2 linked regions of the Lonchura striata genome follow. The protein of the gene in region 1 interacts with the protein of each later gene in a pairwise test. Links are inferred from orthologs where the notes say so. Each region holds a gene or a part of one and is shown on either strand. Other genes may lie near its edges.

Region 1 (7,941 bases):
CTGCAAAATCCCTTTCCTGCTTCCTGCAAGGAGTGTGAACTGCTCCTTGCACTTTGGCTGGTAAAAAGGATGATAATTACCCCTAATCAGTCTGCAGCAAAAACACAGGCCACAGCAGAAGGGAGGGGTGGGGGGCAGTCACCACGAGGGATGGAGCCCAATTATTCCAAGTCACTGATAAAACGGGATCAAAGAGGGTAGGAATGTTTTACCAGCTGGAAAAAGCCTGCCTGGACCAAGGCTGCTCTTGGAGAAAGGTCCTTTCTGCCTACAGGCCATTCCTGTCTGGGACCTTATGCACATCCAGGGGCAATTTCTCATTTTTCTTCTTGGTGTAGGCGAGGAATTTGGGCTGCTGTACATTTCTGCCTCTGAGAGCAAGCAGCAAGACAGTTTCAGCTGGAAATGAGCGTGGAACCATGGGCACAGAGTGCAGAACAAGCACTCTTGAGGTGCTGGAACTGCTGCATCCCATCGGGGCACCTGGGTGTCCCAGGGGCTGCAGCAGTTGGGGTTGGGTGGTGATGGAAGAATTTGTGCCCTGCCAATGCCATGTTTCTGGGGAGGAGTGCTGCACTTCTGGCTCCCTGGGAGCCTGTGCAGCCCCACTGCTCATTCCAACCTTTTGCTGCAGCAGGGAGACCTGCACAGCTCCTAACAGCAGCAGGAGAGTTGGGAGGTGGTGAAGGAGAGAAGGAAAACAGCCCCTTCTGTGAAAGAGGGACTTGAGAGGCAGGTCGTGTGTAAATCACTGCTTGGCCTGCCCAGCCCTTGCCTGGTGTCTGGCTGATGGTGTTATGCTATCTGGAGAAAGTTTAATATCAAAAGCCAATAATCTCTGTGATAGGAGGGATGATAAGGGGCAGTCTGGCCTGGATGTGGCAGAGGGCCAAGGTCCGGTGCCTGACCTCCACCACCAGTCCTGGCCTCCCCATCCCATCCCAGGTGGCCCAGACCTGACAGAGCTGTCAGTGTGGCAGCAGGGCTGGGCAAAACAAAAAAAAAACCCAAAAAAAACCCCCAGGAACCAGCCCTGCTGCTGGCAAAGAGGGGCTGGGGAAGCAGGGAGGCAGGAAGGGGAGAACTCAGTGAGCCCCAGCAGAGTGGCATGGGGCTGGCTGTGGCTAATAGCCAACAAGCTGCCAGCACTGGCCCTTACAGAACGCCTCACAGCTGTCTGAATACAGGGCAGCAGCGGGGGATTGCAGCCCAGGAAGGGCCTGGGGTTTCTTGGCAGGTGGGGTATCAAGGGCAGCTGAAGTTGAATGAGTTTGGTGGGTCTCAGCCCTGTTTCTACTGGAAGGAGGCCACAGGGTTGAAAGCACAAGTGAGGAGCTGGCTGAGCCACCCCACACCCAGTGAGGTCCTGTCCCTGCCACTCCAGAGCTGTGCCCCAAATTGCTCAGACTCCTGCAAAGCACCTGTGGGTGTGGGCAGCTTGAGGTGATGGCACTCAAAAGAGACCCTGAGGCTGTGCAAAAATGGAAAAAACCTTCCTTGTCTCAGTGCCTGAATTGCTGCTGTGCCTTCTTTATTTCTTCCTCTTTAATCCAGGGAAAAGAGAGAGTATTCTCAGGGTAAAAGCAGGATCTCAGGGCCTTCATTTTCATAATGATGACAGCATGGCTTTCACCTTGTGTCCAGAGCTTCAGAGCAGAAAATGTCTGTACAACCTCTCTCCTTGAACCAGTGCTGGAGTGGGATATAATATCTGAATAATTTACAAAGGCTCTTCATTACACAGATTTATTTTTGGCAGCTTTGTTAGACTGCTCCTTTTAGGAACTAATAGGAAGTTTCTCTAGGTTTCATTAGGACATCCCTGTATGAATTGTTCCAGTGGGGCCAGAGACTGGGACAGTTTCTTGCGCCATTAGAAATACAAAATGCTTCTGCCCTCTCTGTCCCTCATGGCTTTCTGGAAACCCACCTGCATGCCCAACCCCGAGCCAGTCCTGGTTGTAGCAAGAATCCAGCATGTTTTTATTCCTGGCCAAGATGTTGAGGGAGTGGGGGGCTTCCCCACATTACCTTCAAACAGCTTTGCAGCAGACAAAAATATTGGTTCACTTGGAGAGCTCCTACACAGAACTCCCTTTCCTGTGCTGGAAAAACCTTCATTTCTCAAGCTGGGTCTGAGGTGGGCTGTGGGAACCCCCACTGCTCACCAGGCTGTGTTTGGGGCCACCTCCTCTGCTCCCAGACCATACCCAGCCCCTGACTCAGCCTGGGCCAGGCTAAAATCCCCTCTTCTTCAGATGCAGGTGCATTGCCTGGCTGGAAACGAGCCCATTAAAAAGTCATTTACCAGGCACAAGTGAGTTTGTGTTCCCCTGGACTGGGATTTGCCAAGATTATACCATAAATTAGAGTGTTTCCTGGAAGAATGTAAGGAGAGAGGGAAAAAAAAAAAAAAAAAGATAAAATGGAACATTTTGTAGCCAACAGAAATGCCAATAAAGGAGCATTTCATTTCCCACTTGGAAGGGAGTGACTGCAAGCTGTTGCGAGTGTAGGGCAGGGTGCCTGTGCTGCTCCAGGACCAGGGGAAGGGGACAACAGGGACCTGGTGTGGCTGCACGCACACACTGACCATAAACTGCATTTCTCTGCCCTTGAGCACAGCTCAAGCTGGGGTGACTCAGTTTCTCTCCACGTAAAAAGGGGGACCAGGATGCCAACCCCACTGGGGGCAGACTGTCTGCCCTGTTTTCCAACCCTTATTCTGCAGGGACACGAAGCCTGCCTGCACTATTAATAATCCTTGGCATGAAGCTGTCACAGTTTCCACTAATATGGAGATGTTGAAGTGAAAAAGCTACTGCACAATATGCAGGAGGTGTCACAATAACTCATCTGCTATATTGTTCTTTTTAAAAATAAATACCACAACAGGCCAGCCCACATTGCTGGAGTCATGACATGTCGGGTTTTATTTTTAATCAGAAAATGTACTGATTTTTAAAGATAGACATGGAGCAACATCCAAAATTTATTAAAGCTCTCTGTGTGCTCACATGTACCGTGTTCCTGCCTGCTATTCTCCGAATGGCTTCCAAGGACTTGATCCTGCCTCAGCACGGGCACATTTGTGTGTGCAGCTTTGCAAGAGGCCCCATGGCAACAAAGTCCTTCCAGAAATAAAGTCTGTGGCTGAATTCCCCACCCCACTGCTCTCTGGGGGGATGCAATCGATCCTGCAGGACACCAACTGCAGGGTCTCCTCTTCAGGCAGCAGGTTTAGGACCAAAGTTTGCATCCAGAGCAGAACACATCCCATTGCTTGGAGATCAGAGCTTTCTCTGGTGGCCAGTTGTAGGTGAACTACCTTTTTCCTTTCCCTTCCCTCAGGCTCAGCCAAGGGCAACACTGAAATAAAGCAAAACGAAACTCTGGGTTAAAAAAAAAATAAATAAAAATAGCCTGTTCTGCTTGGGGAAGGGCGTGAAAATGAGCTGCGAAGGGCGAGGAGCTTCACTGCCCACCAAGGGCCGCTCCGGGGCTCCGGACCCTGGGCCGGGCCGGGGGCTCGGCGGGGCCGGGGCACGGGCAGGGACTCCCGGTGAGTCCGGGCACGGGCAGGGACTCTCGGTGGGCCGGGGCACGGGCAGGGACTCCCGGTGGGGCCGGGGCACGGGCAGGGACTCTCGGTGGGCCGGGGGCACGGGCAGGGACTCTCGGTGGGTCGGGGCACGGGCAGGGACTCCCGGCGGGGCCGGGGCACGGGCAGGGACTCCCGGTGGGGCCGGGGCACGGGCAGGGACTCTCGGTGGGCCGGGGCACGGGCAGGGACTCCCGGTGGGCTGGGGGCACGGGCAGGGACTCTCGGTGGGCCGGGGGCACGGGCAGGGACTCCCGGTGGGTCCGGGGGCACGGGCAGGGACTCTCGGCGGGCCGGGGCACGGGCAGGGACTCCCGGTGGGGCCGGGGCACGGGCAGGGACTCTCGGTGGGTCGGGGGCACGGGCAGGGACTCCCGGTGGGTCGGGGCACGGGCAGGGACTCCCGGTGGGTCGGGGCACGGGCAGGGACTCCCGGCGGGGCCGGGGCACGGGCAGGGACTCCCGGTGGGGCCGGGGCACGGGCAGGGACTCTCGGTGGGCCGGGACACGGGCAGGGACTCCCGGCGGGGCCGGGGCACGGGCAGGGACTCTCGGTGGGCCGCGGCACCGGGGGGCTGCGGGGAGGGCCGGGCAGCCCGGCCGGCGGGGCAAGGCCCGTCCCGAGCGCGGGGAGGGCACCGAGCATCCCCCGGGCCCCGCCGAGGGAGCGCGGCACCGAGGGCGGCACCGAGCGCGGCCCGGCCCGGCCCGGCCCGGCGGCGCCGCGCGGCGGGGGCGGGGACCGGCGGGGGCGGGCGCGGCCGTGGGCCCGCCCGGGCCGGGGAGGCGGCGGCGGCGGCAGGTGGTGCCGAGCAGCCGCAGGACGGAGCCGGAGCCGCAGCCGCCATTAGACAATAGGCGCCGGCGGCGGGAGCGGCGCGGGGCGAGCGGCGCGGCCGGGGCGGGGCGGCCGCGGGGCCGGGGCGGCCGGACCCGGCGCGGACAAAGGCGGCGGCGGCGCGGGCAGCCGGTGGCAGCGGGCCGCTCCGTGCGGGGACCGAGCCGCAACCTGACATGATGTTTCCACAAAGCCGGCACTCGGTACGGCGCGGCCCGGGGCCGGAGCGGCCGCGGGGCGGGGCCGGGCGCCGGCGGGGCCGCGGGGGCTGCCCGGCCTCCCCCGGCCCCGCGGGGGCGAGGGGATCGAGCGCCTCCCGGTGCCGCGGGGCGGCTCCCGGGCGAGGGGCCCCCGGTGACCTTGGGCGCTGCCCCCGGCGGGGCTCGGGCCCCGGGGCGGGCTCGGGGCGGGCGGGCCCGGCGGGCGCCGGCTCCGGCCCAGCGCTGTCTCCTGTTGTTCAAGGGCTCCTCTCACCTGCCTCAGCAGCTGAAGTTCACGACCTCCGACTCGTGCGACCGCATCAAGGACGAGTTCCAGCTGCTGCAGGCCCAGTACCACAGGTACGTGCTGCCCCCGCGCCCGGGGCTGTCCCGGCCGGGGCGCGGGGATCGCTCCGGTCCTTCTGCTCCTTGCGTGGCTCCCGGGGCCGGACGAGAATTTGGGGAAGGGGAGCCGCTCGCGGAGCTTGGGACGCCTTTGGCTGGAGGAGCGCCTCGGGCACGGCGCTGGTCGCGTCCACATGGGAGCCCAGCGAGGAGAACGCCCATTCCCTTCTCCAGCCAAGGTCTTTCCTCCAAGTGCTGCTCAGCCAGGACTGCACAGGCACTTGCCAGCCCTCCTGCCTTTTGCTGGGAGTTTTCCTCAATTTTTCTCGCTGGCTGCCATTCCTGGACTGCAAATGCTGCAGGGAGCACTTAAATCCAAATGCTTTTACTTTTCTGTGAATGTGTGTGGAAATAGTGCTGCTAACCCAAAAGCTGGCTTGAGACAATCTGTTGCTTTGCGTGTGTGTGTGTGCGTGTTTATGTCTGACATAAACATGAAGCCCTTCGGTTTATATTGTCTGGGCAATGCCCTCTGCCACAGCCTGGCACTGGTTTTGGTGTGTGCATTGGTGCCATGTGGCTGCAATGTCCCCCAGCCCGGGCTCTGCCTGCGGGCAGGTTACAAGTTTGTGGTGGTGTCATTTTGGCAGGAGCAGGCAGAAAAGCTGCTGGGAAGTGGCCATTTCCTGGTGTCTCTGTGCCTTGGCAGTGCCATCAGGGGAGTAGGGGTTCCTGCTGAAAGGGAAGCTTTTCCCCCATGCCGCTCCACCCCCTTGGACTTAATCTGCTCAAGAAGGAGCAGGTTTTGTGTAGGTGAAGCTGTTTCTTGTTTGAAACATAAAACCACAGCACATTCTGGCTGCAGTTGCTCGGCTGGTGAGTTGGAGTCTCATAAAACACTGGGAGCAGCGGCACTTTCTCTGAAGGGTGTGAAGAATCTAGGAGAGAGGAAAAATCCTTGCTTCTGGAGGGATGTGCTGCACTTGGGCCTCCCCCCCCCAGCCCCCATCCAGAAGTGGGTCTGGCTTTGGTTTTGATGTTGTAGTGGAACATCTTTTGAGTGCTGCAGACAGGTTCTGTGCCAGAATCTGTCCCCAGCTGCCAGCGATCTGTTGAGGAAAGGCAAACCCCTCCCTGGGCAGCCAACTCTGCTTCTCCCCAGCATTCTGCTTCCTGTGGAATGGATTTGCCTGAGGGAGGTCAGTGTTCTGCTGGTGGATAGCCTTGTGTCCTTTTCCTGAATGTGTGCTGGGGAGGGCTCCAGCTGAGAAATTGGGAGCAGGTTCTGTGTGGTCACTACTGTGCCAGCACAGCCTGTCTGAGCTCTGCTCTGGCCACCCCTTGAAGTCCAGATAATGATGTCCAAGAATCCAGCCTGGCCGGGATGAGGCCATGCAGGAAGCAGCTGCTCCGAGGCGATCAACTCTCTCACCTCCTGTTTGTGGTTTTCTTACTGTTTTCTGGCTTTTCAGCTTGAAGTTGGAATGTGACAAACTAGCCAGCGAGAAATCGGAGATGCAGCGTCACTACGTCATGGTAAGGACCGGCCCAGCAGCCCGGAGCAGAGTGTGTGGGTGGCAACACCAGCAGGTGCCTGTGCCTGGGCTCTGCCTGGCAGGGAGCCCACGCCCCGCAGAGCTCCAGGGCTCTCAGCAGGGCTGGAGTTGGCTCTGCTCTCAAAATGGGGCTGTTTTGTGTTGGCTGCATGCAGGGGGTTGTTGAAATGCACGGTGGGAGGGAGTTTTTTGATGTAGAAAATGGTGGGGGATTGCTTGATGGGTCCTTGGCCCAAAGGAAGTGACGGCTCTTACACACCTGAGGAGGTGATACAGGGTGCTGGTGTGCAGGTGTTTGGGGGCTCTGGGAAGGTCACGGCCAGTGAGAGACAAAGCAGTGCTCTGAGAAGTCATGAAACTGGGAAACCCCACAAGCCAGGTGTGAGTTAGAAGCAGAAATCAGCTTCTGTGCCAGGGCTAAACCCTGTGCACCTTGTGGTGACCTCGCAGCCTCGCTTAGCCGTGGTGCTGAGTGCTGGCACGTGTGTCCCAGCACAGGGTGTGCAAGCCCCAGGGCAGTGCTTGGTAAAGGCATGAGAAATGGTGCCAAGTGTGGGCAGCAGGCTTGGCTGTGGCTTTCCAAGAAAACAGCCATGTTCTGGTGAGCAGGGTGAGGGTTTGCCTGCCAGGTAATGCCTCTGGAGCCCTTGCAGCACGGGGAGGGTTGCCAGGCAGGGCTGTGGTCTCTTCCTTTCCTATCATGGAGTTAATGGGAGGCTGCAATACTGTCCATGAAAATGAGCTGGCTCCTGCTTGCCAGCTGCTGCACCTGCCCTGGAAAGAAGAGATAAGATGTAGAAATTAATAGAGCAGCTCTTCAGAGCAGAGTTAAGACTTAAAAAATGAGAAATAAGGGAGCTAGCTGGCCCCTTCATCTTTCTGTACTGCCCTTGTGACCAGACTCTGAGGCTGTGGGGAGCAAGGAGTGCTTGGGGCTGGGGACAAGGAGAAGAGGTCACAGCTTTCCTGGTGTATTAATGGGGAAGCTTGCCCCGTTCTCATTGGTAAACAATTGCTTCCTGTGCCTCGCAGTCTGCATGGAAACCCTCATCTCCAGCAGTGGCCACGATGCATTTTTTTTTTTTTTCCCTTAATGCTGGCAGCCACCAGAATTGATTCAGGTTGCTGTCAGCAGCAGAGGGGAAGGGCTGTTACTCGTGGCGCAGCGCTGGAGGCTCTGCAGGCGCAGCAGCTCCTGCCTTGTCTGCGTGGCTGAGCCGGAGCTGCTGCCGCTCCCCGTCACGGGGAGCCAAGAGGAGGGTTCCTGTCAGTGTGCAAAGCTGCTACAGCTGCTCTAATTTTTGAATAAGTCACAATTGGCAGCTTGGGGGACGGGCTCCTGCTTCCTGCTCGGTCTTCAGAATGCAAAGAAGCCTCGAGAGCCCGCAGCAGGCTGAGATC
Region 2 (8,405 bases), on another chromosome or scaffold:
GAGGTCCTTATCGTGGGGCTGCAACCCCAGATCGGTGTGCAGCAGCCTGACAAAGAAACTGTCTGGTAAGGAATAACACAAGGAAAAAAATCTATGAGCCCCATGTCAAGAGAGAGACTTCCACCAAGGAGGAAAGGTGAGAAGTGAAATACACAGCTTCAGTCATTTGTAAAGAACAACGTACTGTGGGCACGGTACCGTGTCATTAGCAACACAAATGCAGCAGAACCCACAGTGACCTGAACCCAAACTGACCTGAATCTTCCACATCTGCGATGAGTCTGGCAGCTTGGGGCAGGAGCAGGTCCTAGTGCTCTTTCCAGAGAAAAGGAAGTCACTCAGATACCATGATCAAGATCATGAAGCATTAGCAATCACACAGGAAACAGTCACCTTGGTAACTGAGATGCTGAGAACAGCCCAGAAAATCTAGCACAGGGCAGGCTGCTGTTCTAAACTGGGTTAGTTCTGCAGGGCAGCACCCTGACTGCAGGTATTTGGGCTGGGCCGACCCTGGCATCCAGCCTCAAGTGCTGCACCAGAGACCACCAGCCACAGGGGCTGTGGTGCCCCAGGCCCACCTTAAGGGCCACTGTCCCACCAGGGGGAGAAGGCACCCACCCAACAGGCAGCACTCACCTCAGTGTCACTGCAGCATCCTCAGGAGTCGTCCCTGTAGCTGGCAAGCTCAGACCTACCCTTGGGGACACAGGGACCAGCTGTGCCCCATGGGGTTATATGGAGAATGCATGGACAGAGGCAGGTCGGAGCTGGAGTCCGGACTGGTGGTGGGAGGGAGGATGGGACACAGGCTGCCTGCCCCACCCATGAACCTTACCTCTGGATGCCTCCTTTGGGCGCTGGCAGCCGTGCCAAGGCAGGTGAGGAGCTGCTGCACGCAGCCCTGTGACATGAGGAGCTGACAAAGGGCCCTTGTCACCACGGGCTTATGGCGGTGCTGCGGGGCAGGGCAGGCGGGCAGGAAGCACCACGCTCTTACGCAAACCACTGGCCTGGGACCTGCGCTGACCCCACAGCCCTGCCAAAGAAAACACCAGGGTCGGGAAGCACCTGGCTGCAGGTGGCACATCGCCACAGACCGGGAGGAGACCCGCTGTGCCAGCAGCCCCTGGGCCCAGCTGCAGAAGGAGCAGAGAGAGGCCACCAGCAGGGATCTGAGCGGCTGCCGTGCCCCACTCACCTCACAAGGGCTGCCAGGCACCCCTCTCTGCCCCGAGCCATGATGCAGCGAGGGGTGAAACAGCTACTGCCGCACATCTGCCAGGCACAAACCCTCATCTCAGACTTGGGGACTGTGGCTCAGAGGCACCAGTGCAGCCCAGGAGACAGCAGAAACAGCCGCTCCATGCAGCAGTGCCCAGCAAACTGGCAGCACTACTGCCGGCCCATTGTACTGTCCCATCCTGTGAGGTCTGCCCTGCTAGGATCCCCTGGGGTTCTCACTATGGCCACAGGGGCCAAACTGTTCACTGGGGGTGGGAGAGTCCCCCACACTCCCCTTCTCTGAGCACACTGGTGTGGCTTGGCTGCACACACAATCAACAGAAACCCACTTTCATGGAAAAATCAGGTTCATTTTTAGCTTTCAACCTGCAGAATACAACTGCCCATCTGCCTAAGCTCCCTGGGAAACAGAGCAGCATAGGGCTGCACTCCTGCCTGCAAACATCCCAGCCTGGGGGACCTGGAGGATTGCAGGTGAAAGCAGCTAGTGAGCAAGTAAAGGGCAGAGTGCCCACACAGAGAAACCAGCAGAGAAAACCAAGTAACAGGCAGCAACAGCAGGCAGAAACTTCTGGATGCACCAAATCAATAGCAGAAGGTTTACCCAGCACAGAGCAGCCTGCTCTGCCCCATTGCCAGCAGAGGTGAGCCCACAGTCCCTCTGCTGTGCTGTCCAGCCTTCTCCCTGCACACATCCTTACACTATCCCAAAGCTAAGGCTGCAGTCCCTTTCCCTGGAGTCTCCCCAGTCTGTCCCCTCCACCCTGGATACTACCAGCAGGTCTCTTAGTGCTGAGGGAGCTGGGACTGCCATGCTCCAGGCAGGACCTGTGGTCTACAGGGTCCAGCTGGCTCCAGCAGCTCTACTCATCTCTGACTCCCAGACACAACATCTCACTGTAGGCACATGCAGGGACACAGGCCCAGCCCAAACACCCTGACCTTGTCCTTGCAGTACAGCTGCAGACACAAACAGCAGCTGCTCAAGGTGGGTTCTGTAACTATCTGCCTTAGGCTTTGTCAGCAGCAGTCGTAATGCTCCACAGCCTAGTCTGGCTCTGCCCCTGCTCTGGGCTGCGGGATGTGCCCTTCCATCACCTGTCCTGGACAGCACCCTGTCATCACCTGCTGTACAGGTGCAGGGATTTCCTTGCCCAGCCTAAGTGCATAAGGTGCCTGTGGCACTTGGGGCGTTCCACAGTAGTGTCACGCACAGGAACACACACACACACACGGGCAAGGAACACAAGGCTGGGAGCCCACCTGCAGCCCAGCAGTAGGAATGCCATGTGCCCGTGGGCTTCGGTGGGCTGGGGAGGGGGTGCTCACAAGCAAACCCAGCCCAAAGACCAGCAGGTGTGGCTGGCACAGCACTGAGGGGCAGACTGGCCCATGCTCCAGGCTCACTCATGGAACAGCTGCCAGCCTTCCATGGCTTCACACCACCCCAGGAATGGGGGGCTCAGCCTCACAAAGTGTCTCCCACCCCATTGCTGCCCATCTGCCAACTGCCAAGACTTGGCAGGGCCAAGATGTCAGCAGCCACTGCACTGGGCAAAGGGAACATGGGGCAAAGAGACTTTGCAGTGAAGGGCATCTTCCTGCCATGGCCTCCAGCACCTGCAGCCACAGAACTGAGCCAGGCTTGAAGGTATTTCCCTGTTTGCCCAGGTCTTTAGTTTAGCTTCACTTGAATAGGACAGTATCTGCTTTGTGTGCAATCCTCAAGCTTCCTCTTGGGTACTGTGGCCAACTGTTCCTTCAAGTCCTGTTAAAGCTTATTCCTTGCCATGTGGCACAGGACTTACTAGGTGGGAACACACTGTGACAACATCCAACACTAACAACATAAACACAGAGTGGCTGCTCTGGTTGTCACCTGGGTGCAAAGGCCAGAAGAACACCAACAAGCACACAGATCCACTCTTGCTTGTTCCTGGCAGTCTGTAGGTGCTGTAGGATTATAAAGGCATCGATGCCTCAGTTGCTCAGGCAAACTACCAGCTTCACTGCACCATTTCTGCCTGCAGCAGAAATGGGTCTGTATGGAGGGCACTGCAGGGACACCCTTCCCTGGAACCAGAGCAGGGACTGAGTCAGGATGCCAGGTGCAGCCAGCCAGTGCTTCAAGGGACTGGGCCCACCTGTCCCCGTGCCTGGGGCAGCCACCCCCACCTGCAGCCCAGCCAGATTGTGGTCATCCAACTGGATCTGCCCAGTCCTGGCATCTCTGTAGGCCAAGGAGAGTTTCCCAGGAGAGTCAGCCTCCACCGTGGCCTTGGGACCTCTGCAGCCACTTCTGGGACCAGACTAGGGTACTGCTGCCAAAAATTTGGTCTGCTCTCCCCTAGACTGGCTGCAGGAGATGCTGCCAGAGGGACATCTCCCAGCCAGACCAAGGACACCAAAAGAAAAACACTTCCCTGCACTCCCTTATGGATTGTGCTCCACTGCTGAGCCACCAATTGGAAAAGCACATGTGCCCTGGCCTTTCCTGGCTGCCAGAGCTAGCCTCACCCCACGAGAGTACCTGCTCTGCTACTGCCGGTGAACTGTTGAAGTGTGGCTCGCTCCCCCTGCTTCCTAAATTTCCCTGCCAGCAAGCAGATTTCATGGAAGATAAAAGAGGATTTCCTCTTCCTTTCTTCGTAGAAGCCAGCAGAAGGTAGCAGAAAGTGGCAGACGTGGCTGCAGTGGCTTGTGACGCAGTTTTACCCAACTTAAGAGAAACTGTTATCTTCTGCGGCAGGATGCGTGCACAGGGACATCCCACCCCAGCCACTCGCCCTACACTGTGAAGCCTCACACACCTCGGCTGCTGACACAGGCAGCAGCCAGCTGCTTACGGGAAACCCCCAAGAAGCAGCCGTGGCCCCAGCCTTTCCCCACAGACACTTCACACCCACGCCAGTGGGACCCCCAGGAGCTCCCCCAGCCTTGCCGTGCGGCAGGTGGAGGTGCTGCCCCACCGGCAGCAGCTGCCCTGCTGGCGCTGGCCGAGGGCTCCGGGGGCACGCAAGAGCTATTTGTCCTTGCTGCCAGGGAGCCAGGCAGCAGCGCTGGGGCTTGCTGGAGCTGGCTGGAGCGGGCAGAGCAGGGAGACTGGGGTCATGGCTGGCTGCGGCCGTCGGGAGCAAAGGCGGACGGCCTGCCGTGCCGCACTGCAGGGAGGAACGGCACGGCTTGGGCAGCAGCCACGGCCACCTGGCCTCCAGGGACACCCAGCCCCGCTCTGCCCCGAGCAGCCGCGCTGGCAGCGGGCTCCGCACAGCCCCGCAGCCCCACCGCGCACCAAAGCGAGCAGCAGTTCTCAGGCTGGGCGGGCAGTTCGGCACAGGAATTTGCCAGGCGCAGGCCGTTCCCCAGCTCAGCGAGTTACGGGTAGCCCCGGGCGCTCCGTTCCGGCAGCTGCCGGCTCAGACGCAGCCCGCACGGGACGGCCGGGCCCGCAGAGCCCCGGCGCCGCTTAGACGCGGCCGGAGCGAGCAGCACCCGGGCGAGCCGCACCCGGGCGAGCCGCAGAGCCCCATCGCGGCGCTGCCGGTGCCCCCGCCGTCCTATGGCCGCTCGGCCGCTGCCTCGCCCTCACTCCCCTCCGGGGAGAAACCCGCATCGTGCAGGGGGGAACGGAGCCTCTCCCGGCCGAAGGCGGATGGCGAAACGACCGGGGACCCCCCTGCCAGCCGGCCGCAGGGCCCGGAGCACCCCGCGCCGGGCCGACACGCAGCCACGGCAGACGGCTCCGAGCCCCGGTGCCCGTCCCCGCGGCAGCGACCCCGGGCCCAGCGCCACTTCCGGGCCCCGGCACGGTCCCGGTGGCGGCGGAAGCGGCCGAGGTTCCGGTTCCGGGTGAGCGCTCGAGGCGCCGTTGTCAGCGGCCCCGCTCGGCTCTGCTCCGCTCGGCCCGGCCCGGCTCGGCTCCGCTCCGCTCCCCTCGGCTCCGCTCGGCCCCGCTCCGCTCCGCTCGGCCCCGCTCGGCCCGGCCCGGCCCCCGCCTGCCGCCACCATGTCGGTCCCCAGCGCTCTCATGAAGCAGCCGCCGATCCAGTCCACGGCGGGCGCCGTGCCCGTCCGCAACGAGAAGGGTGAGCTGGGGGCTCGGGGCTCGGCGGGGAGGCCGGGCGGGCGCGGGGCCGGGACGGGGGTGCGGGGCCGAGACCGCCGCTGACGGCCGGCACCCGCAGGCGAGCTGTCCATGGAGAAGGTGAAGGTGAAGCGGTACGTGTCGGGCAAGCGGCCCGACTACGCGCCCATGGAGTCCTCGGAGGAGGAGGACGAGGAGTTCCAATTCATCAAGAAGGCGAAGGAGCAAGAGGTCGAGCCCGAGGAACAGGAGGAGGAACTGGCCAACGACCCCCGGCTCCGGCGCCTCCAGAACCGCATCGCTGAGGATGTGGAGGAGCGGTGAGTGCTGGGTCAACAAGAGCTGAGCCCCCTTTGCCTATCTGGGGCCGGGGGGCTGGGACTCTAGACTGCAAGGAGAAACTCCACAGGGCAGAGCTGGGAACATTATCCAGGCAGTGCTGGAGCGTTTGTGACTTCTCATATCCACTGTGCCTTGGGCTGCTTTCCAGCCAGGAGCCAGCCAGGCACAGTCCATGTCCAGGTGTGTGTGGGTGGATGGTAGGAGAAACAGGCACCAAAACAGAAATTAGAGCAGCGTGCTGAAGCTCGGGGTAGCAAGGAAGGATGGTGTCTCGTGAAATGCACTCTGGGCAGCCCATGGCCTCCCAGCTCAGTTGGTGAGGGTGATGAGAGCCTCCACCACGTTGCCCATGTGCTTGCGCAGATTGCGCTTCACTGCAGCCTGTGATATTTCCGTCTCCATCATCTGCAGAAAAGCACCACTAAGTGCTGTTTGCCTCCCATGGAGCTGCTGTTGGTTTTGTTTCCACTAACAAGGAGTCTTCTCATTTGGAACAGCATTCTTCCTTGAAGCATTGACAGGGAAGAGCTGGCAGTGCCCAGGCACTGTGACCTGGTAGAGAACATATCAATTCTGGCCATGTTTGGCAGTCCCAGTGCTTACTGTGGCCTTGCTAGAAGTGATTTGTGAACAGTCACTTTCCTGCAGCCCCCTTACGTTCCAAGTGCTGTGCATCACCTGGGGTCTCTTGCAGGCTGGCAAGGCACCGCAAAATCGTGGAACCTGAAGTGGTCGGAGAAAGCGATTCAGAAGTGGAGGGGGGAGAAGCTTGGCGCCTGGAACGGGAGGACACCAGTGAAGAGGAGGAGGAAGAGATTGATGATGAGGTGTGTTTGCAGAGCCAGATAATGGGCCTAGGAAAGCTGGAAGGGCACAGGCTGGAACTGCCCTTTGCATGGATATGTGGGCTGTCTGATGTATCTGGACAAGTGTCACACCTAGCCACGACTTAACCATGTAAGTTATCATCCTCTGGCATGGAACAGGACACTGGGGGAGGCCACGCCACGTCCAGACAGGCAGGTGCATCTTCTCAAAGCCAACACTGCAGACGTGACGTGTTTCACAGGAGAGAGAGAAGTGGTAGCAGGGCAGGCCTCTGACTGCTCTGTGCTTGTCCCCGTTAGGAGATTGAGCGTCGGCGTGGGATGATGCGTCAGCGAGCACAGGAGAGGAAAACTGAGGAGATGGAAGTGATGGAATTGGAAGATGAGGGTCGGTCTGGAGAAGAGTCTGAGTCAGAATCCGAGTATGAGGAGTACACGGACAGCGAAGATGAAATGGAGCCACGTCTCAAACCGGTCTTTATTCGCAAGTAGGTGATGGAAGTGTGTAGGCTGGCCCTGGATCGTGGTAGTCAGAAGCTGGGGCCCAAGGAGACCTTGCTGCCATGGTCTCTTCTCACTGTGAGAAGCCATTGACCTCCTTGGGGTGGGATGGGATGGTCACAGCCTGGCAGGGCACAGCTAGGGAGCAAGGAGCAATCCCTGTACCCACAGCCCTGTATCAGTTGCATTGGGTTGCTGTGGCATCAGGCTGTGGAGTCTGACCAGAGCTCTTGGTCAAGGGCCATATAGTGGCAAAAGAACGTGGTAGTACCCAGGAAGGGGAGAGCCCTGGGACTTGACCTATCCCTGGAGAGGGCAAAGGCTGAAAGCAGTTGCAGTGTGGGAGCCAGTGAGAGGCTGAGCGACTGCACTGGCTCGTGGGAGGGCTGAAGGCTGTCATGGCCCTGCTTGCAGGAAGGACCGGATCACAGTCCAGGAGAGAGAAGCAGAAGCTCTGAAGCAGAAGGAGCTGGAGCAGGAGGCAAAGAGGATGGCAGAGGAGAGGCGCAAGTACACGCTTAAGGTACGGAGGGGTGGGCTGGAGGCTGGAGGGGGCAGCCACTGCAGCAAGTTTAGCTTGGGCCTCACTGCAGATTGTAGAAGAGGAAGCAAAGAAGGAGCTGGAGGAGAACAAGCGCTCACTGGCAGCACTGGATGCACTCGATACAGATGATGAGAACGATGAGGAGGAGTATGAGGCCTGGAAAGTCCGTGAGCTGAAGCGTATCAAACGAGACCGCGAAGAACGAGAAGCGTAAGTATTGTCTCTCAGACTAGAGGCTGAGACCCCACCTTTTCCTCAGGCTGCCCTTTGGCAGCAGGGTCCCAGCTGGACTGAATGCCCAGAGTCCCTCCTGCCCACCCTTGGGGTGCCTTTGCTCCCTAGCAGTAAATGTGTAAGCTCTCATGTGTTAGCTGGTGACAGCCTCTCTCCCGGGAGATGCTGTGGGGACACACAGTCTCAGGAGCTTCTCTCCCACCCAGCATGGAGAAGGAGAAGGCAGAGATCGAGCGTATGCGGAACCTGACAGAGGAGGAGCGCCGTGCTGAGCTCCGGGCCAATGGTAAAGTCATCACCAACAAGGCAGTAAAGGGCAAATACAAATTCCTGCAGAAGTACTACCACCGCGGTGCCTTCTTCATGGTGAGTGTGCTTAGGGCCAGGCCTGGCTGCACTGGCTGCAGGTGTGAGACTGCGGGGCCACCTTTTCCCTGTGGGGAGCCTCCCCTCTCCCTGGGTGTCCTCAGGCTGGGGGTGCCTGGGACAAGAGCCAACCTTCAGAGGCAGCATGGGGCTAAAGCTGACCCAGAGTGACCTCACCAGAGCGTGTCAGGTTAGGGGTTCCCAGCTGAAATGGAGCTGAAGCTGCAGAGCTGTCCCTGTGTTGGTGTTCGGGCTGACAGAC

What was found.
Region 2: the proteins of TLE5 (region 1) and MFAP1 interact in binary tests that used the Homo sapiens proteins (3 or more experiments, as listed by UniProt). The two-hybrid records come from large-scale screens. The link is inferred for Lonchura striata from reciprocal best matches to the Homo sapiens genes TLE5 and MFAP1.

What each region holds. Positions count from the first base shown.
Region 1 is NC_134630.1:4,158,179-4,166,119, forward strand, and holds the start of TLE5 (TLE family member 5), read left to right. Parts: upstream 1-4,522; 5' UTR 4,523-4,615; coding exon 4,616-4,642; intron 4,643-4,901; coding exon 4,902-4,999; intron 5,000-6,456; coding exon 6,457-6,520; intron 6,521-7,941. UniProt on the Homo sapiens protein: Transcriptional corepressor. Acts as a dominant repressor towards other family members. Inhibits NF-kappa-B-regulated gene expression. May be required for the initiation and maintenance of the differentiated state.
Region 2 is NC_134613.1:24,429,644-24,438,048, forward strand, and holds the start of MFAP1 (microfibrillar-associated protein 1), read left to right. Parts: upstream 1-5,099; 5' UTR 5,100-5,251; coding exon 5,252-5,330; intron 5,331-5,429; coding exon 5,430-5,649; intron 5,650-6,365; coding exon 6,366-6,498; intron 6,499-6,798; coding exon 6,799-6,986; intron 6,987-7,413; coding exon 7,414-7,522; intron 7,523-7,592; coding exon 7,593-7,753; intron 7,754-7,983; coding exon 7,984-8,143; intron 8,144-8,405. UniProt on the Homo sapiens protein: Involved in pre-mRNA splicing as a component of the spliceosome.